Tamandua tetradactyla: one gene and its partner. The protein of the gene in region 1 interacts with the protein of each later gene in a pairwise test. Links are inferred from orthologs where the notes say so. Each region holds a gene or a part of one and is shown in the gene's direction. Other genes may lie near its edges. The genes, in order: UBQLN4 and SPP1.

Region 1 (11,064 bases):
CCACCCATTCCTGGGAAAGGTGTTGGGAGTACAGGTTTCCCAACTCCGTGTTGGCCAAGAATACCAGCTTGAGTGAGAGTGAGGCTGAGGCTAGGAGTGGCAGTGGGGTGGGGTGGTTAGACAGGGAATCAGAGCCCGGCCACCTCCCGGAGGAGGTGTGGGGGTGATGGGAGATGGGGGCGGCGCTGCAATAGAGGGGCCAGACACAGAGGCAGATAAAGAAGCAGGAAAGATACACACACTTTCAGGGACAGCCAAGTTGAGCCAGATTGAGCCCAATATCTGGTATCTGGGCCCGAGGAATCTGCCAAGGCACAAGCATACAAGGCCACAAGCTCAGGAGGCCTCCAGATCCTATCAGGCCCTGCTCCCAATTTGTTACATCTTCCCCGTGTATTTACCCAGTTCTGTAAAGGAATAGATCTCTCCTTTCTTGCACATCTAATGGGGTGTACAGGATGGTGACTTTCTGCCTCTTAAGTTTGCCTGTTTCCTCTTGTCCCACAAGGGAAGTCCTTTCTGAAGTCTGACCTTCCTCTCTTATGCTGCAGCAGCTGACTATTTCCGGGGATTTGGGTTTCCATTGAGAACTGGGTAGCGGAGCCGAACTCGGCAATATTAAGGAATGATCAATAACATTATTTATAACAGAACAGCTCCAAGACATTTTTCCTGCCCCATGCCCTGCAGCTTTCTTATCCGGAGGGAATCATGAGCCCTGGGGGGTCCTGGTAAGAGATAATACCAGGACCGTCCACCTCAGTTGCTCTTTTTCTGGATCTCCTTGGCCTTCCTCTCTCCCCATGGACCCCAACTCACCCTTGAAGACAAAGTTATAATCCTCCTCGGTTCCGGTCCCCATTTTGGCTCCGCATGGAGGGTGCGAGTGTCTTTGGAAGCAGAGGTGACTGCTCTGTGTGTTGGCTCAGTGCCCTCAACCCTCGGATTTCAAGAGTCCTGGACCTGCCCCACCTCTCATTGGGGGTATGGAGTGTTTTGCAGCCAGAGGGATTGAGGGCAGACTCAAAGCTAGGCAGGGCCTAGGGAGGCTCAGTTCTGGCAGGTGGGGGTACTGTAAGGAGGCTGAGAGGACGGAAGCAGAGAACAGGAAGAGCAGGCAGCTGGAGAACTGGGGCCCAAGTGGGTGGAGAAACGATGACGTCAGACAGGTTAGACAGGTTGGGTGTCTGCTCTCAGTCTGGGCTCCAGCAGGCAGGGGAGCAGGCTCCAAGGGTTGGTAGTTGGGGAGGTGGGCACTAGACAAGACCTACCGAGAGGTGGCTGAAGCTTAAGCATTCACTGCTGGTCTCCTGGGCCCTGTGGCAAGTGGTAGCCTGGCCACTAGTGAGTTAGAAAGAACCCCTCAGGGAGCAGAAACCCACTTGACCTCCTGTATTTCCTTCAAAGCAAGGTGCAGAGAGCTTCTGGTGGGGTGGACAGGGGGCACAGTGGCAGGCTGCTGGGGCCAGGGCTAGGGCTGATGGAATACCCGTACGAGGGACAGAGCTGTGGGAGCTGCGTCTTGGTCACAGCAACATCTGCCCCTCCCTGAAAGCCCAAGGCCTGGGCTGGGCAGCATTTCTCACCCTGGGTGAGGCTGGGACTGGAGGCCTGACCTGCTTCCCTGGGATGGGTTGCTTCCTACGGCACTGGGGAGAGGAACTGGTTGTTCCTTGAGCTGATCTGCTCCAAGGACACCAGGGAAGGGGAGGCCAAGGGCAGAAACTGCCAGATGGGGTGAAGGGTCTGAGTATAGGGGTAGGGTCTGGAGATGTAAGCCTCTCAGAGGCCTGTCTCTGGGTTTCTTCTACTCCCTGCCCAGTGGCGAGGCCTCACAGCAAAGCTATGGTGTCTGCTTCAAGAACTTGGAAGGGTCTGGCTGGCATGTGAATGCCTGGGAGAAGAGGGAGAGCTGGGCCCCTCGAAGGCGGCTAGGGGTCACCTTCCCAACCCCAAGAGTAGAAATCACCCCCAAAAGCCTGCAAGGAAGGATGCTGTGTTTCCAGGGCCTTATATTCTCTTTATCCAAGGTGACCCCCACCAGAACCCTGACAATCTGGTGGATATTATTCTGCTTTGAGTGGCCACGGCTGGGTGAGGCCACTCTGCTGGAGAGGCCAAAGGGACCACAGTCAAAATGCATTTGTTTGTGGAACGAGTGGGTAGAAATCCATCCTTGCTGAACTGAGGATTCCTACCAGTGATCCAGTGATTCCTGGATCACTGGATTCCTGGATTCCTTCCCACCTCTTCAATTCCTCAGACCCAAGAAAGTAGCAATACACAAGAGAGGAATTGAAGTTTATTCTTGGAAAAAACAAAAAAAAAACCTCTCCTCTCCTCCCCCAGTTCAGGAAGGTTTTCCCAGGGGCCCTGCCCCCCCAAATGGTCATCTCTCCTTTGTGACCCCAGCTTCTGTCTGTGGCCATTAGGATGCCGCTACTTGGGTGAGGGGCTCCTCCAGGTATTGCACCAAGGCCTGGGCCTGCAAGGCGGAGAACAGAAATTAGTCCCACACTGGCTTGCTGGTAGAGGGATCCTGAATCCAGGGTCTACCCCCAATGCCATATGCACAGATCACCAGCCTCAGCCCGCTCATAGGAATTAGCCCACACCAGGCATGCACTGGGTGGATGTGAGAAGGGTAAGGTAGTGGGGCTGGGAGTGGCCATGGTGATGGAGCTTGAAGGCTGTGCCCAGGGTTATGGAAGAACGAGGCACATACACACCTTGGCCTTGAGCATCCCGAAGCCCACGGTCTCCTTGGCATACATACACAGCAGAAGGTTGGCCACTCGGGTGATGGCCACACGGCCCTCCTGGTGGGGGAGATGTGATGTTCTGCTTGGCACCCTGGTCCCTCTCCTCCCACAAGGGCTCCTCTTGCCCCAGACAGACTCTATCTTCCCTCCATGCCTAAGGCACAGAAGGTTCAGCTGGTGGGTGGGGGGCGGGGGGGGGGGGGTGCTCTGGCCATGGCCTTGGACATTAGAGTCCAGAGCCCAGCTTCCAATTTCAGCACAGCCACCTCCAAGTTACCCTGGGAAACTCATTTATCTATCAGAAACTCAGTTTCTTTTTCTGTAATTTCTGTCTCATCCTAGCTGGTGTGGGTACCATCACACATGAATGAGTTTTGTATCTGTAACAGCCTGTCCAAATGGATGACATTATTATGGGCTCAACCCAAAGATACTGAGAGGGGCTTGGGAATAGTAACCCAATTTATGTTTATCTTCTTTTTCCATGACAAGGTTTTTCAAACTGAGGTTTGACCTAGGATTAAATTAATTTAGAAAGTAGATCAGCATTTAAAAATAAAAAAGAAGAGAAATGAAGTGCATTGCATGTTTCATGAAACTTTTGTTTTAGTGGATGCATTTCTTATGGCTAGGTTGCAGTCGCGAATATTTGAAAACCTTTGCCCTATAGCACCAGCTTTAGTCTAGGCACAATATAGGAGTCATCTATTGAACTGAAATGGCCTCTTTGGTTGGACAGGGGATGGGGAAGAGGTAGTCAGCCAGCCGAGTCTCCATGGAGAATCTTTTGGGCAATTCAACCTTGGGGTCTATTCAGTTTGGTTCAGCAGACCTTCATTAGGTATCCACTGTGTGCGGGGCACCAGGTGTTACACCCCTGCTTCTCTGACTTCATTTTCTACTACTCTTTCCCATGCTTATGCCACTCCAACCACACTAACCTTGCTGTTCCTTGACCAAGCACCTTTCTGCCTCAGGGCCTTTGCACTTGTTGCTCTCTCTGTCAGAGAAGTTCTTTCCCTCAACAGCCACATGACTCACTCCCCAAATTCCTTCAGATCTTTGCTCAACTGTAAACTTTTTAGTGAGACTCTAACACATGCCCCCTACAATCTCTATCTCTTTTCCCTACTTAATTTTTCTACATAGCATTTCCATGACCAAACTTTTTTTTTTTTTAACCAAGCTTATTATAAAAAATATGTGACTTTAAGCTTCACGAAGACTGGGGTTTTTGTCTATCCTGTTTACTACTTTCCCTTCAGTTTGGAGAAAACTATATTTACATTCAAGTAAATATTTCTTGAATGTACAGACATGAGTGAGACAGTTCCTATTTCCACGCAGTTCACAGTGGAATGTCCATTTCCTTTTTCTGGATTTCATTTCTTTTGTCTGTAAAAGGAGTTGACTAGGTCCTGGAGACCTTGCCAGCTCTAAGGTTTTGAACCTGGGATGACAGCACCTTGTGTTTGTACCTCACTGTATGGTTGATATCCATTCTTTCATTTGAACTTCACTACAATTGTGTGAGACAGGAAAGGTGGGGGGAAGGAGTATTGTTTCCAACTTAGAGAAGTAAGGAAGCTCCCAGAACTTAAGTGACTTGCCCAAGGTCCCACAACTGATAAGTAGCTGGCAGAGACCAGAACCTCAATCAGACCTCGGGTCCAGGGCTCCCTCCTCAACACCACCTGATGCAATGGGTCCTGCTTACTCTAAGTGCTGTCGCACACCAGCTCTTAGTACTCGTCCAGAGCTCCCGTTCCTGCCCCTCTGACTATCCGGGCGGAATCCGGGTCACCCCGTGGGAATCCCCATTGGAGGACAGAAGCTAGGCTCTTCTCTCCATACCATGCAGTCCATGAGAATGAATTTGAGATTGTCTTCGTTAAACGCTTGGTTCCCGTTCCGGTCGTACGCGGCCCAGATATTACTGGCGATGGCCGCGGTGACCCGGGCATCCGTGTCCCCGTAACCCGAGTAGGCCAGCAGCGATCCCTCGTTATTCAGCAGCCTGGCGAGGGGTGGGGAGGGATATCGGTGTGCTTAAGACAGGGAGTAGGACCTCTGGGGTCCCATCACAACCCCACTACCGGCGCTTCTTGGAAGCAAGTGTCCGGGCCGAGGGTGTTCGGGACCGTGCCCCGGACATTCAAGCACGCCCCGCTTCCCTTTCCGAGAGGGGCCCTCCCGGCCGGTTTCCCCAGGCCTCTGCCCCCTCTGCCGCCTCCTCCCTTCCGGGCGGTCCTTCCCCAACCCTCCCTCAGACAGCCGCCCGCCGCCCGACTCGGGCTTCAGCGCGCGCCGCTCGGGTCCTCGGTCCGCACTCACAGGGTGCTCTGGACGCCTCCAGTGTTGGCTTGGCTTAGCACCTGGGTCAGAGCTTTGGGGCGCAGCATGCCTGCGACTCCGAACCCGGAACTTTCGCACACAGATCCGCCGAGGTGCCGCCTGCTGGCCTCCGCCGGCCACTCCCGGTAGTCCAGCCGCCCTGCTCCCGACCGCCCTGGGAGTTGTAGTTTCCCGGCCTATTGCGGGTCTGACTCAATACCCCCGCCGCCGCGGAGGCCTCTGGGAGTTGTAGTTCCTGTGCGGTCGCGGGGCACCCTGGGAACTATAGTTTGCCTTTCCAGTCAGACCACGCGGTTATGGGGGAAAAGAGCGGGAGTAAAAGGACAGAAGTCCTACAAGGAGGTTTAACTCCTTCGGGGAGAAGTCGTCACGTCCGCTTGGCAAACCACGGTTCAATAATTTGAAAAACCTTGTAGTTATGAAGTACACCTTTGGTTACTTTTCAAAGCAATGTCCTGTGTTATACACAATTCTTTTGGATGAGGCGATAGGTACTATTATCTTGAGGAAACCGAGGCTCAGAAAGACAGGAGGAAACCGAGGCCACGCAGATCAAACCCAGGTCTCGGGAACCATATTTAACAGTCCTTTATTAAGGCCCCATCCCTCGGGAGGATGGGGACAGTTGTAGAGATGAGGTCCTAGGTGGACGTCCCGAGGTGGGAAAATTCAGCCTTCACGTCAGGAGGGAGAAGGCCCAGCCTTTGGAGAGAACTGGGCCTCCCGAGAAGGACCAAGTTATCTCACGGAGCAGAGATAAAGCGGCGACACAGAAGGTCCTTTGTCCCGGCGCGGGAGTGACCCGCGGAGGGGGCGGGGGCAGCTTTGGGAAGGACTGGACCTCCCAGCGGCTCCGGGAGGCTGGGGCGGGGCCCCCGCGGCAAGGGGCACGCCCCCCGCCCCCGCCCAGCGCCCCTCCCCCCACCGCCGCCCGGCGAGCCCCAGAGCCGGCTCCCGGGCGCAGGGCTCGGCCCTGGGCGGACCCGGTGCAGTGGCCCCCCCGGGCCGCCCGGGGCGCTGTGGCTGCGGCAGGTCCGGAGCGGGTGGCGAAGCCTTGAGGAGAGGCGGGGAGAGGGGAGTGTTGGAGGCACCCGAGCCGAGCCGGGCGGGCCGGGCTAGCGGGGAGGAGGAGGAGGAGGAGGAGGTGGAGAAGGAGGAGGAGGGGCCCGGACGGGCTGGCGGGCGGCCGGGTGGCGGCGGCGGCGGCATGGCGGAGCCGAGCGGGGTTGAGACGAGGCCCCCCATTCGGGTCACCGTCAAGACCCCGAAGGACAAGGAGGAAATTGTGATCTGCGATCGAGCCTCGGTCAAGGAGGTAGTATGGGTGGCGGGGACCGCGCGCCGTGGAAGGGTCTGCGGAGAGATGGGGGGGGGGGGGCGGTCCTGAGGGACGGTCGGGGAGTCCGGGAAGATCCCGGACAGGAAGGCGAGGGTCCAGCCGGAACCCCGAGGAACGGTGGGGAAGGAGATGCTGGTAGGGAGCGCCCTACGAGGGTAAATCCGGGGAGCATGGCGTGTGCTGGGGGGGACGGGGTTTGCCGTGGGGCCAGGACTGGGGGCGTGGTGGAGGGTGAGGAGGGGGCCCCCTTGCACAGAGAGCACTCTGCACTTGCACAGAGACGGGAGAAGAACCCTGGGTTACTGGTCGGGGTTCGAGGCGCTATGGCAGAGTAGGGAGTCCAGGCAAGGTGCTGAAACAAGAGAACGGACGCAGGAGAGCACCGGGTGCCTACTCTATGCCTCAGAGGAGGCCCACCGTTTTAGGAGAAAACCTGGGGTAGTAGGGGGCGGATTTTCCTCTGCCCAGATTCTTTCAAATTGAAGTGGTTTCCTTTGGTGGTCAGCTCCTCTAGGGTTTGTGCAGTGTGCAGTAGGTGCTCAATAAAAATTTGTTGAATAAGTGAATGAGGGAATATTGCCTCTGTTTCTCACCCCCAGTGGCTGCTCCAAAATTTCACATAGGCGGGGCTTAAGATAGGCCATCTGGTTGGAAGGGAGGGCTTCTGGAAGCTGCCTTTGCTTAGCAAGTGCACTGTTTTTCCTCAGAATGATTGTTATTTTTTGTTGGGAGTGTGCTGATAGTTGGGGAGTCTAACTCTCCCCAAGCTAGCCCTCGGTGCCATCCCTGCCCCCCAACTTTATAAAATGACTCTATTCCAGAATTTAAATTCTTTCCTCTGCGAAGCTGAAATTTAAATCAGTTTTAATTGAGAAGCAGTGTGTCCAGGCCGTTGCAAGCGTGGGCTTGGGTGTCAAGGCCTGAGTCCCATTCTGAGCAGAGTAAATTGCCTAATCTCTCTGATCCTTAATTTTCTCAACTTTCTAGTGGAGATAATATCTCCCAGGATTTAGACTGTTAACTGATGAATATCAAGGGCTATTTGTTGTTGTAGTTCAAAGATGGCTGAAGCAGAAGCTGGGAATAAAGAAAGATAGAAAGTTGGAGTCTGAGAAGAGAAGGCTGAAGGGAGACGGGGCCTGGGTCTAAAACTGTTGAAGGAGTTGGGATGGAGAGGGCTGCCCATTTAGCACCCTCATAGGGGGTTGGGTGAAGGGATTGAAGGTAGGATGTCAGAGCAAGGGCTTTTGGGGTGGAAGACCTTGGAATATAGCTGAGAGAGGAGCCTCTCACTGGTCCATCTTGGTTAAGAAAGGAGCTGCTTATTGCAACTGGAGGGGTGGAGAAGAGACTGCAGAAAGAAATTCCCGTGACTAGAGTGGGAGCAAGGGTATGCCAGAGGCTCTTGGAGAGGGGCAGGGTCCCTGGTGGGTCTGGGCTGGCAGCCTCCTCAGTGACCTCTGCCTCTTGGTCACAGTTCAAAGAGGAAATCTCTCGGAGATTTAAGGCCCAGCAGGACCAGCTCGTCCTGATCTTTGCCGGAAAGATCCTCAAGGATGGGGACACACTGAACCAGCATGGAATCAAGGATGGACTCACTGTGCACCTGGTCATCAAGACTCCTCAGAAGTAAGTTCAGAAGATGAGCAGGCCCAGCCTCTGACTAGGCCCTCCTTTCCCTTCCCCGTCTAACATTTTCTCACCCATGGCTCAGCTGGACCTGGACGGCCTGTGTCAAGGATGTCCTGCCTGGCAGCACTATGATATCACCTCTAGGAGAAGGGAAATTGACTTACTCCTCCCACAATGCCCTGAAGACAGATAAGACTAGCTCCTTCCTCCCTCTCCCTGGTTTACTGACCACCCCTTCCCCTGCTGCTGCCTCAGGGGCCCTCAGCAGGTAGCTTGAATCAGAGCAGTGGCTTCTCTGTGTGCCCACTCCACCCACCTAAGAGTCTCCTTTCTCTGTCCCCAGGGCTCAAGATCCGGCTGCTACGACTGCTTCTTCCCCCTCCACTCCAGACCCTGCCTCTGCACCTTCCACGACACCTGCTTCGCCCGCCACCCCTGCCCAGCCCTCTACCTCTGGCAGCACCACTTCAGATACTGGCAGTGGAAGCCGAAGGAGCAGTGGGGGCGGTCCCTCCCCAGGGGCTGGGGAGGGACCCCCCAGTGCTCCCGCCTCCATACTCTGTAAGCCCCTAGAAAGGAGAACACAGTCCTACTTGGTCTGGGGAGTGAGGGAAAGCCAAGAGCAGGCAGAAGGATGGTCCCTGCTCTGGTCTGGTGGTCTGGTGAGGGCGGGGGGCTTCTGGACATAGGGTTCCAGACCCTGGTATTCAGCCAAGACCAGTGTGCGAGGGCTTCCTGAAGGAGGGGAACATGGCTGAGTGTTAGCAGTAAGGGGAGAAATGGGGCTGGGGATGTGGAAAACCCAGGTCAGGATTTTGGAAGACCCCGTGAGTTTGGGAAAGTGGTGGACCTGGCTGGGGTTAGCTAGAGAATATTTATTTGTTCATTCAACAAGCCGCCAGTGGTTGCCCACGGTGAGCTAGGTACTGTGCTCAGCTCGGGGTAATCTAAGCTTCTACCATCAAAGAGGTCTTGGCTAGTAAACTGACATCTTGCCAGCCGTGGATCACGGCTGGGACTATGGGAGTAAGTGGAAAAGGGAGATATGAGAGGCAGAGACAGATGGGGCCCATTCTGGAGACCAGGTTAGGGAAGGGCTATCGTGGCAGATGGTGACCCTGCCCCCTCCCCACAGCTGGTTTTGGGGGCATCCTGGGGCTGGGCAGCCTGGGCCTAGGCTCTGCCAACTTCATGGAGCTGCAGCAACAGATGCAGAGACAGCTGATGTCCAATCCTGAGATGCTGTCGCAGATCATGGAGAACCCTTTGGTCCAGGACATGATGTCTAACCCTGACCTGATGCGTCACATGATCATGGCCAACCCTCAGATGCAACAGCTGATGGAGCGGAACCCCGAGATTAGCCACATGCTCAACAACCCTGAGCTCATGAGGCAGGTGGGTATGGGAGAAGGTTGGGTTGAAGGGGGATACCTAGAGCCCAGGCATTCCCTACCTAGCCTATTCCTGCCTTGTCCTACACTGCCTGATTGACTGATTCATTCATTCATTAATTCGGCAGCCATATTTTAAACCCTGGTGTACAGTGATGAAAATACACAGGCCTAGCTTTGCAGAAGTTCCTGGTCTCAAAGGGAAGTGGGATAGGTAAACAGGTATTTCAGTGTGGTTGGTGTTACCCATAGGTACAGTTCAGGATCCCCTCAGAGCACAGAGAAGGGCTCCTCACCCTATCCTGGAGCTCAGAGGAGACCTCCTAGAGGAAGTATCATCTGAGCTAAGACCCAAAGGAAGAGGAAGAATCAGTCAGGGGAAGAAAAGGAATAATATTCAGGGCTGAGGGACAGCAAGTGCAAAGGTCTGAAAGTAAAAGAGAGTAGGATGTTTGGGAATCATCATGGCCCTGTGGAGAAGAGAGACCTGGAGGAGGAGGTTTTAGGAACTTCATCTACTGGCCTACTCAGGCCGACAGGGGATAAGGAGAGAGTTTTCCCAGTGAAGCTGTGGGCACCAGTGTTGACCTCACTAGAAGATAAGTGACTTTTTTTTTTCTGTGTGCTGTATGGTGGGGGTCACATTTCATTCTTTTTCCGTTTGAGTATCCCGTTATTGCAGCACCATTTTGTTGAATTTTTGTTTGTTTAGTTGTTTTTTCTTTGTTTTGCTTGTTTGTTGTTTTTTGGGAAGTGCATGGATCGGGAATTGAACCCGGGTCTCCCAAGTGGCAGGCGAGAATTCTACCACCTTTGCACTCCTGAATTTTTTTTTGCGTGACATTTTTGAGTGTTTGCTTTGTTCACTGTCTAGTACAGTGCCTGGTACTTAGTAGGACTCAGTAAATATTTTCTGAATGAATAATTGAGCACTGGAACAAGACATCAGAGCCCGTGAGCCTAGGTGTATCAGTCCATAAAGGCATCTTAGAAGAGCTGAGTGTAGAGCGGGACTGGGAAGGAAAGAAAGATGGGTGGAGAGAGAAGGTAGTCTAAGCTGGATGGGAACAAGAAGAAGCCATGTTTATTTTCTCAGGTACTGTTTTTCCTTGGGGTTAACATAAAACACCCTTTATTGAGAGTGAGCCATTGCCCCCACCCTCTGTGTTTCTCAAAGTGCAATCAGGCCAAAGACCTGGGGGCAGGGATTAGAGGGTGTTGGTAGCATTGTTGCAACTTGAATCCTTTCCCTCCCTAATTTGTGGTCATTTACTATGAGTCACAGTGTGGTCTTGGTCAGACAAACCTTCCTGGCCTTGAAACCTGGTTCCACCACTGAACTGGCTGTGTGTCCCCAGGCAGAAAGCCAGATAACATCTCTGAGCCTGTTTTCTCATCTGCAAAATAGTAACAGAAATACCTACCTGGAAGAGTTATTGTGGGGATTAAATGACTTAAATCCTGTAAAGTACTTAGCCCAGTGCCCATATTTAGTAGGAATTTTCTCTTCTGCCTCCTCCCCTCTCAATGGTTGCCTCTTAACTCAGTTTCCTCCTCATACTTCTGTGGAACCCGTGAGCCT
Region 2 (10,814 bases), on another chromosome or scaffold:
CCAAAAACACATCACTTTTACTGGAAAACATCTTAAGACTCTTCAATTTTCACTCTCTACTTCTCTATGAGAGGTGCTTAGGTGTCAAAATTTTTCCTTTGTTGTTTGTAATTTAAACTTCTCTTACAATCTTGATATAGTCATCACTGTCTCTACAACTGCTTGCTTTTCTGTTGTAATGTCAATATTTTTATTACTCATCAATTTTTAGGAGAAACATAAAACCACAGAATTTTAGAGCTGAAGTTGACCTTAAAAATAACTCAAATTAGCTCTGGTGAATAACCTGGACCCCGGACAAGTTAAGGAACTTCCCAAAACTCCATAAAAAGAAGGGAGGCAGGAAGTAGAGAACAGCCTGGCTCTTCCAATTCTGCAATGGCATTTAAAAACGTGTATATAAAATGATTCTAAGAACTGAGCAGTATGTAGCTGCCGCTCCTTGCGGTTCATACTGAATGCAAGTATCACAGATAGCACACGGAGGATTAAGCATTGCTAATGCTTTCCCCAAACATAGAGTAAATGCCCAGAAGAAAACTGTGGCTAGAAACCTGAATAAGACCCAGTTCCTACTGGGAGGAAGTTTCCTTCTTAGTGTGAGGAGACAGACACTTAAGGGCAATAAAGCGTCATAGGTGCCACGCTAGTTCATAGTCAGGATGCATTTTACATGAGAATTTATATACAGTTTATAATAGATTTATTAATTCATTGAATAAATATTTGTTAGCACATCAACTGCAGAGAGATGAGCATATCATAGAACTTTCACTTTTGAGGAAATCAAACTTTAAAGAAGGAATCAAACTTTAAATGAAAGTTATTTTAAATAATATTTTTAAAACATAAATAATATATCATAAAATAGGGACACTGATGCTAGTTATTTCTTAATAAGAATTAACAAAACAAGACAAAAAAACTTCAACCAGGTGGGTCACGGTGGCTCAGAGGCAGAGTTCTTGCCTGCCATGCTGGAGACCCGAGTTCATTTCCCGGTGCCTCCCCATGTGAAAAACAAACAACAGCATTCAAAGGGAGGCAAAAAGTTGAAACAAAATTAGCTTTAAAGATTATATATGTAGGGCAGGCCACGGTGGCTCAACAGGTAAGAGTGCTTGCCTGCCATGCCCGAGGACTCGGGTTCGATTCCCGATGCCTGCCCATGTAAAAAAAAAAAAAAAAGATTATATATGTAGAACAGAATGATTGCATGTTAATGTTTCAGTTCATTTGTTGTTAAGTTTTTTTTAATTAGTAAATAAATAAATTTAAAAAAAAACTTCAGCCAGTGTGGCTATAAAAATATTGGAATTATTTGCTGCTTTGTTTCCAGTTCTTGTCCACTTTCCTCTGATTTCCATCTTCTGTTCTGCAAGAAAATGGTCACTTTTTCATACTAACCTTATATTGTGATGGATTCTTATCTTCTTCTGAAAACTACTTCACTACCATATTTTCAATAAGAATTCTCATAAATGGAATTCAAAGAAGGCTTGTCTCCTCTCAAATACGATCTGCAAAATGCCTATTGCTGATTGCTTATTGCTGAGAAATACACATATCTGCACCCACACAGTCCTACAGCTGCTAGACTTTTATTTGTACCTCTGCAGCTTTCTACCTCCCTCTCTGGGTCCTTTTTATTACAGACTCCTATTGTTCCCCGTGTTGCTGCAGGGATTCTGTGCCAAAATTCTATGCCAATGTAATTGATGTTAGGTGGGAACAGAGTTTTTCTGTTTGTGCTCAATCCCAGAAGACACATCTCCTCAACCCCAATGTAGGCATAGGGCCTCTACCATCTGCCTTCTCTGTCCATAGCCTCCCTGAATTTATTGTTTAATCACACCTCCTAACCTCAGTAGTTGCATGGGATCATATTCTTTAGTTAGTTTTCCTGAATAAATGGGCTCCATTGGGCTAAGGATGGTGCCATTTTAAGAAAAGAAAATAGTTAATGATCTATATCCACTCTAAGAGTCTATAAATTAAAGAGTGTGGAATGCCCGCAGAGATGGTGGTAATAATTTAATAAAGAAATTCTACAAGATTCTTGAGCACTGGTAAATATTAAACATCAGCATATGAGATATATATATACTATGGATTCAATCACAGTGCCCATACAAGAATTAGTTCTTATGGATGAAGGGCTGAGTGCTTAATCACTGATAATATACTGAGTGTAAAATTTACTCTATAACAATTCCATGGATCCAAAGAGAAAATGTTATAATTTGCTTTAAGTAAAACTAATGTTTACCAAAACCCTGCTTTTCAGGAGCTAGATTTTGTTGTCTAGGTCATTGAGCCACAGGATAAAGGGCATTATGGTGTGTCTTTTTTATTTGTAATTACTGAAATATTCAAATTTCATGCCAGAACCTAATTCATCCTTACCAAGACTACAAATGATGAATATTGTGCTGGACTTCTGATTATACTTAGTTCTAATTCCCAAGTTTGCTAGGACAGATTAGTGATGTTCTCAAGATAAGCATTTGAATTAGATTCATTGTCTGAATCTGAACATTCAGGGCAAAAAAATAATTATTTGCAGAGCTGAAAAAATTGAAATAGATGGCAATACCTTACTACATAAAGTGTAATTAGGCTAGTCAAAGTAAGTTTGAAGCCAGTAAAGTTATCCACCTAAAATGGACATCTAGGTACTTAATGTTTCCTATTAAAATGGGAATCTTCATGTAATGAGGAAAAAATATATAATGTTGTTTATATGTTTCCATGTATCCCCTTAATATTTTAAGATAATGAACCACTCTTTGCATTCTGGTGTAACAAGAAAACTTTTTCCTTTCCACGTAGCAAAAGATTTACAAGGAATTCAGGCATTTTGACCTTTCGATTCTAACAACCACTAGTCTAATCAAGTATGGAAATAGTGTGGAAATACTACAGAGCAAGTGTCTCTGACTTAGTTCATTTAATGTGTTAATTCTGACAGTTGGAAAATCTTACTCACAAAAGACTAAGTGTCAGCAGGTTTGATTACAAAACCCAAGAAACATGAGCCTCTTGCAGTCAGAATGACACAAGTATCCATTTAATACTTTACAGAAGAGCCTTTTCAACTCTGCAGCATCCCAGACGTATTCTTTAAACATGCATTCATAAGGCTTTATTCTGAGTGAGAATAACGTTTTGAGTGAATGTGGGAAGTGGGAAAGGAGACAACAGCATCAACCTGGAGTTGCTGAAGGCAAGACCAGAGCAGAACAAAAATGTTTTGGTTTTCTTGGTCGCTGTATTCCCAGTTACCGCATGGTGGGTCATTGTTGGGAAATATTTCCTCACCTGGCATTCAAGAAAGGGAGGACTCACAGCTGTTTTATAGTTTTGTCTTAAATAGTAGTGGATGTTCTATTCTGCCGGAATAAGAAAACTGATAGAGCCAGATTGTGGTCTGAGATTCTTTTCCGAAACACTGCCATCGTGTGGCACGTTGGAGCCATTATGACCAGAAAAGTCCTGGAAAGGGTCATATGGTTCATCTCAAGATGGTTGAGTTCCAACAAAATCTATTCCTATAACTCAACTCCCTAAGTTCATATTAAATCATTCCCGTGGGCACAAAATAAACTATAGTGAGTCCTGTGGGGACAGCTAGTTGTTTTTAGAATCTGTGGACTTGCCCCCGCTAAACTGACAACATGACAAACATCCCGTGGGTAATGTGTTTAAGAAAAAAAGTTGTTGAAGACAGAAACAAGGCAACTGTTTTGCAATTTTATATCCATGTGCGTTTATATTTCAGAGAGGCACAATCTGAATTATTAAAATGTGCGCATATAACCCACAAATCAACAATACCAATTCATTTTGAATACATCCAATTTAAAAGAGACCCAGTTTCCCTCATGAAATGTTCATAAAATCTAGTTACTGTTTTTACTAACATAGCAGGAAATTGTTTAAATCTAGATTTATTTTAAAAGCAATATTTGGCAAATAGGAGCTGACACTTAAGAACTTATAATAAATAGCACCATTTATCTTTTAATCTCACTTTCATCTGCAATGATTACAATGAAAGTGTGAGGTAAATGAATAGTAAAAACAAATTTCACAACTGGGAAAGGTAGGTAAAAAGATTAAGTTAATGTCAAGACAATATGAAATATTTAAAACGAGCTCAGAGCTCTACTATCCCTGATTTCTGCTCCATTATTCAAGCATCATCTGTAATTTTCTTTAAATACCTTTACGTATCCAGTAAAACTTTTTAAGTATAGAGATATTTGGGTTTTTTTTTCCTTTTCTAAGCAACCAACCATAGATGCATATATAAAAAGATGATATAGAAATCTAATCAACCTTTCAGTGGTGGGCAAATTACCCTATTTCCAGACACAACTTAAAGACCTAATAACTAATAACAAACTTCTAATAATCTACTCCATCTAAAGATATTACAAATCATGACTAACTCTTTTCTAAAAATTACAGTAATAGTTAACACTCACACAGGGCTTAATATAAACCACACATTTGCATATACGTGCCAAGCACTTGCATATAATTTCTGTCTGGCATTGATACTTTTAATTTTTCAATCATTTAAGCTTCTCAAAATCCTTATAAGCTAAGTAATAGTATGTCCATTTTACAGATGAGGAGACAGGCAAAGGTAGGTCAAGTATTTTGCCCAAGATTCCTCCACAGCTAACTAGAGGCAGGACGGGATTCAAAGCCCACTCCCTTGCTCCTGAACCAGCCCTCTTCAAGCATTCACCCTGTTTTCAGTCTTAAACTGCTTTACTACAGCAACATCTAGAGTAAATAATGATTCTTCTATTTTATATATAGCAAGTTATCAGATTCATCACCTCCTAACAGCTCACGCATCCTCATCAGTGCAACAAAAATCTGTGTCCTTGAAACATGACTGTAAATCCGACTTAACGGGCATGAACATAAATTTTTAATATCACTAATGCCATTTGTCTAAGTCAATGAGCTGCTGCATCTTTGAATACAAAACTAAGCTTTAGTAGTTTAGTATGGAGGGAGGCTAACTGAACTCTTCATATGCTGTACAGCAATATCTTTTCAGCTCTTCAGTATGTCTAATCATGGAGACAAATTTGGCTGTTACTTAAACGGAAAGAAACAAAAAAATACATACTATTTCATTTCATTTAAGGTTGATATATATTAATATTTTTCTATTAATTCAGAAACTATGCGTAAAATCTTGATGATGGTTACTCCCTCACCCCTTTTTATGGGATCCCCTACGTGTACTTCCATAATGATTAATGCCAACCTCAGAAATGAAAAAGCTGGTTAATGATATTGTTCATAAGTAACATTTTAACTGTAGAGGAATCTGTGCTTGTTTCTTGTTTGTTTTGTTTTGTTAAGCCACAAAACCAGAAGGGAAGTGTGGGAGCTTGTGGGCTGGGCAGTGGCAAAAAAACCTCATGACACATCTCTCCGCCTCCCTGAGCTGGTGGAGAATGTCTGGAGCAGCATTTAAATTCGGGGAGGTTCTGGTCGTCAGCAGCAGACAGAGGAGGCAGGAGAGCACAGACTCATCCAGACTGAACTCTTCTCTGACGCGTTGCAGCCTTCTCAGCCAGACACCCACCGAGGTAAGCCTGCAGGCTGCATCACTTTGCAGTACTGTAAAACATTCTGTTTAATTGCATGGGGGAAATTCAAGTAGCAAGGAAAATAGTTTAATCAGGCTGCTGCAAGACAGACAAATTATTCTAGTCATTGGAATAAGTATGCCCGATACAGTGCAGATCTCCTGGAGGAAAGGTGACCAACTATTTTTGAAAACCGGTCAAAAATAAAACAAAAATACTTCTACCAGGTCCTCAGAAAGAACTGAAACCTCTGCTTCAAATAGGAAAACAAACCCCAAGAAGCTAAATTCTGTGCCCTTTGGAATTATTATACCTGTATCATTTTAATGGATAGATGGTTGTAGAAGCATTTAAAAGGAAAAGGACATTTAGTACTAATGTCACACAATTTAATACTAATTTTATTATTTCATTTAGTCCAATTTCAAGGGGAAGAGTGCCTTTCTGAATGTTTTACATCTGTATTTTCCTGTTAATTTTTCACAAAGACACTTATATGATACTATGGAGACTCATTATTACGAAATAGAAAAGCTGTTGACTGTTCTCAATGTTTTCTTTTTAATTTCAAATTTCTAGAATGTCCTACTTAAGTAACTAACTTTAAAGATAAGTTCAGTTCACCTAAATAGCACCTTTTCAGCAATTTAAGTTAAAAACTACATTTGAAATGCATGCTGGAAAACTGGTACAATCTTTGGAATTCTCAATTTAAAAGTTAAGTGAATATAAACTTGTGAAATCCCTCTCTCCCTTGCTGAATAGTGAGAGATGGAGAAGAGAGGTAACATTATAAATATTAACTCAAAATGCCATAGCATTAAAAAGAAACGGTTTTGCTAAGAAGTGATTATTTTGAAATGTGATAGCATAAATAAGTATCATTGATTTAACCTACAAAGATGTCATATGCTCCTCACAAAATATTTTGCAGGAAAAATCACCACCATGAGAATTGCAGTGATTTGCTTTTGCCTCCTAGGCATCACCTATGCCCTTCCAGTGAGTATAGCTCAATCTGAAGGAAATTCTTGAAAATGAAAGAATTATGCAGTTCCATGTGCTAGAAACATTTTATCATCCTCATCGTTCTTCTTTTTATTTCTGTTTCAAGGTCAAACACAAGGTTGATTCTGTCAGCTCTGAGGAAAAATATGTACGTACCTTTTAAGTTTATCATTTAGTTTATCTATGCAATTACTGTAAGAGGTTTTATAAACATATTTGTTCCAATTTTACTTATTATCAAAATCAAGACTGTTAATTTGTTAAGTATTTATTGCCTGCTTGCTATGAATCTAGAGCAGTACTAATTTTTAATTAGTACATTTATAATTTTTAATAAATGTATGATCTTAAAACCAAACTAAATTTTCAATGTAGCAAAAAAATGTTCTACGGCCATTATCACTTCTGTAAAATGAGTTCCATGAAATTGCATGACTGTTTTCTTCCCACGAGTCAACATAATGTTCTAGAAGGAGAAAATTCCATTCTTTGCATTACTTAGTGGAAGGCTAAATTAAAAATTCTTCTCAGATATTGGTCAAGACTTGTTGTAAGGCCATAGTGCTCACAATATCTCCTAAGATATTTGCTAAGAAGCCCATTGTCAAAAGAAAGTCTGTTTTATGCTGTTGGTATCAGTGGTGCTTGCCAGCTGACTTTGGATCACATTTTCCTAGTCAAACACAAGACCAAATCAAATTCTCTATTATACTGATTTGACCAGCACCCTAGATGTACCTGCCCCTCTGCAATATGTGAAACTGTGCCAGCCAAACAACAAACAGGCATTGTCCCAAGAGTTTAGACAAAAAGCCACACAAAGTACACTTCCAGAAGAACAGAATAAAGGCCAGTACAGAGTTGCCTGGGATCACTGCAATTAAATTACTTGGTAAAGATATTCAGAGAAGCATTGCTGTGTGTCTGCATGTGCACCTGCGTTTGTGCTGAGCATGGGTGCATGTGTGTGTCTGTTTTCCGATTGATTTGAGAAGACAAGTGTTGACTCGCAATAATAAACCAGGAAAAAAATAGCATTTCCAGAGAAGATGAGGTCGTATTATTTGCTGCAAGAATTAGTGCCTTTTTAATAGAATAAAATATGGCAAGGATGTATTTTTAAAAGGTACATAAAAACATGACAGTATAAGTTACTAAATAATATTTAGAAAATAATTGAATAAGCTCGTCTCAACCTTTCAGAATTCCAGAAATTTAGAACTAATAGGAATTATGGAGAAATCTATAAGGATATACTTATACTTTACAAGGTAAAGATAAAAATGATTACTGGGTTGGTCAGTCCATTTTGCTTTTGTATTACTTTTTAAAAATTATAAATGTAATTTATAAATACCTTCTCTCTGAGTATGTATCATCTCTGAGCTTGAGTCATCAAAAAAAATAAAAAATATAAAGGGAAACTCTGAGCTCATCTACTCCAGTGGTTTGCACATCTATTAATTGGAGCCAGTCATATCAGAAAACCAAAATGCCATTGATTGGTGCCTTTCCCATACATATTCCCTCAAGTGTCTGATAAAGGGACTCTGCGGGACCCCCAAGGCTGTTATTCTCAAATGATATGAAACAATCTGCTCTGGGTGATACAGCCTATCAGATGACACTTACTCATAACAATTCCCACTCCTCTTCACTACCATATTACAATTGTGTTCCAGATAAATAATTTGGCTAAAGAAAATGTTATTTGATTTACATCTTTGGCAACTTAGAAAAATAGAATTTTCTGTAATTTCACTTTTCTATATCTGCACTGTCAGATAAAAGATAGCTACTAGACATGTAGCTACTGAGTACTGAAAATTGTGACTGGTGCAACTGATGAACTGGATATTTAATTTTTATTAATTTAAATTTGAATAGCCACATGCAGCTAGTGGATACCATATTAAAAAGCAAAACCTTAAAGATTTCTCCTTGTTCTATGAAGAGGAATCAATGATGATCAACATTAATTAAGAGCATTTCTGCTCTAGCTGTGCTTTATCTATGCAGAGAACTCAGCTAGCAAACATAGAATGGAAAAGCACAGTGTTAAGAGCCAGTTTGCCTGGGTTTAAACCCAGCCTCAGCTACTTACTACCACTTGGCCTCATTATGGTTAAGTTTCCTGATCTGTAAAATGAGGGGGAAAAAAATGATGTCTGAATCATAGTGAGTTGAAAGGATTAAATGAAGTAATATTTGTAAAGCACTTTGAAAGAGTGTCTGTTTCATAGTAAATGCCGTATAAAAGTTGGTCAAATGAATCTGCAAGAAAAAAATCAATTATAAAAGGGTTACCTAAGATTCTGATTGATTATATGCATGCATATTGTTTATCCATCCAAGATTGGTAAAGCATAGTTATGTTTATAGCTTATCAGTTAAAAATACCTATATCTTTCTTAAATATTGACAGATATTCTATTTTTTTTTTTTTTAGCTTTACAACAAAAACCCAGATCCTATGGCCACATGGCTAAAGCCTGACCCATCTCAGAAGCAGACTCTCTTAGCACTGCAGGTATTTTTAAACTTCCTGCAATTAAGCAAAACTATAGCTACCAAACAGACGATTTGGACTGAGTAAATGAGTCCATTATTTCATCCCTGTGCTTATGACAGATTGATCCACCATGTTGGCTCTTTCCAACTGAAAGCCATTCACCAATCAGCCTGAAAAATAAGACTTGAGTTGAATTGAAAAGCTAACTTTTGAATCAATAATTTAAACGTGTGTGATGTATACTAATATCTGCCCTCTTGTCTTTCCTGCTCAGCAAGCCATATCCTCTGAAGAAACTGACAACTTTAAACAAGAGGTGAGTTCTCCTTGTCAATAGGGGGTCTACCATGCCTTGGAGAGATGATAGAAGCCGTTCTTTCTTCTAATGACATTGTCTTCATTTTCTTCTGTTGAGATTCCATTTGCAAATTCTCCAGCAAATTGCCTGTCTAAAACTTGCTCAGGAAGAAAATATGTATTTACTAAATGTCAGGAATGCCAGGTTTCTGCATGTACATTTAATTTTGCAGGAAGTATTTACTCATGCTCGTTATTTGAAATATTAAGCCACAAAATTTATTAAAGGTGTTTTGTAGATGTCTTATCTAATATCTGTTAGGCATCTAAACAATAGTTACCAAAGCCAAGATTTTGCCTTAAAGAATGTGTCTGTTCCAAATATAATGGTTTATTTGATTACTATTCTTTTCATTAAGATGGTTAATATATTTGCTGAGCAAAGAAATAAATTAAATTTGCTTTCATTAAAATTCTATTTGAATAGGCAAAGAATCCCTAATTAGGAAAGTTCAACAATCCAGCATATTGCCAATTTGGAGTTCAATAAACATTAACTGGTTGATTCAAGTAACAGAATTGAGATGTAATTTATACATATATTCATAATAGAGTTTGCTTTTGATTATCCATGCAAATAGAGAAAGATTTTAGGTTTGGGTACATATATTAAAATATGGATGCTCCGATAGTCTGAGAATTCCCAACATTTCAAAGAGAAAAATCACCTTCACAATTATGTATTTTATCTACTGCATTATTGAATTTGGTCAATTAAATAATGTCTAGCATGTACAAGGAAAAAGAGTATTATCAATATGAACGCTATACTCAATTTGTTTCCCTTGATATTTTTAAAAATAATTTATTGATGGAAAAGCAAGGAAAATACTTCAGAATATTATTCCATTTATCCTTCTGGGTGACGTTAAAAAATAAATTGTAGGATGGTCACTTTAGCTCTTAAAAGCCATTGAGTGACTTATCGTAAAGGCAGGCATTTTGAAACTAACTGAAAGAACAAGAGTAAAAGACTAATGCAGTGTGAAAGCCAAGGGAAAATGAAAAGCTATGCACTAATTTTTCTGGCCATCTTGACGTTTAGACCCTCCCAAGTGCGTCCAATGAAAGCCAGGACCACACAGACGAGGAAGATGGCAGCGATGATAGAGACCACACGGACAGCCGGGACTCCACCGACTCAGACGACTCGAATGAAGCTGACCCCACGGAGGACCCGGACCATTCCAACGAGTCTCACCATTCTGATGAATCTGATGAATCTGATGAGAGAGTCACTGATCTTCCTACTGAAGTCCCAACAACTCCAGTTTTCCCCACAAGAGACGTTTATGATGGCCGAGGTGATAATGTGG

The links.
Region 2: the proteins of UBQLN4 (region 1) and SPP1 interact in a two-hybrid assay, tested with the Homo sapiens proteins (2 studies listed by BioGRID and IntAct). The link is inferred for Tamandua tetradactyla from reciprocal best matches to the Homo sapiens genes UBQLN4 and SPP1.

What each region holds. Positions count from the first base shown.
Region 1 is NC_135330.1:9,087,913-9,098,976, reverse strand, and holds the start of UBQLN4 (ubiquilin-4), read left to right. Parts: upstream 1-6,267; 5' UTR 6,268-6,324; coding exon 6,325-6,432; intron 6,433-7,933; coding exon 7,934-8,085; intron 8,086-8,431; coding exon 8,432-8,649; intron 8,650-9,223; coding exon 9,224-9,486; intron 9,487-11,064. Other genes in the region: RAB25 (ras-related protein Rab-25), read right to left, coding at 820-862; ragulator complex protein LAMTOR2, read right to left, coding at 2,429-2,485, 2,730-2,819, 4,617-4,779, 5,097-5,164. UniProt on the Homo sapiens protein: Regulator of protein degradation that mediates the proteasomal targeting of misfolded, mislocalized or accumulated proteins.
Region 2 is NC_135350.1:38,795,799-38,806,612, reverse strand, and holds the start of SPP1 (osteopontin), read left to right. Parts: upstream 1-5,484; 5' UTR 5,485-5,621; intron 5,622-6,555; 5' UTR 6,556-6,569; coding exon 6,570-6,623; intron 6,624-6,735; coding exon 6,736-6,777; intron 6,778-9,078; coding exon 9,079-9,159; intron 9,160-9,415; coding exon 9,416-9,457; intron 9,458-10,543; coding exon 10,544-10,814. UniProt on the Homo sapiens protein: Major non-collagenous bone protein that binds tightly to hydroxyapatite. Appears to form an integral part of the mineralized matrix. Probably important to cell-matrix interaction.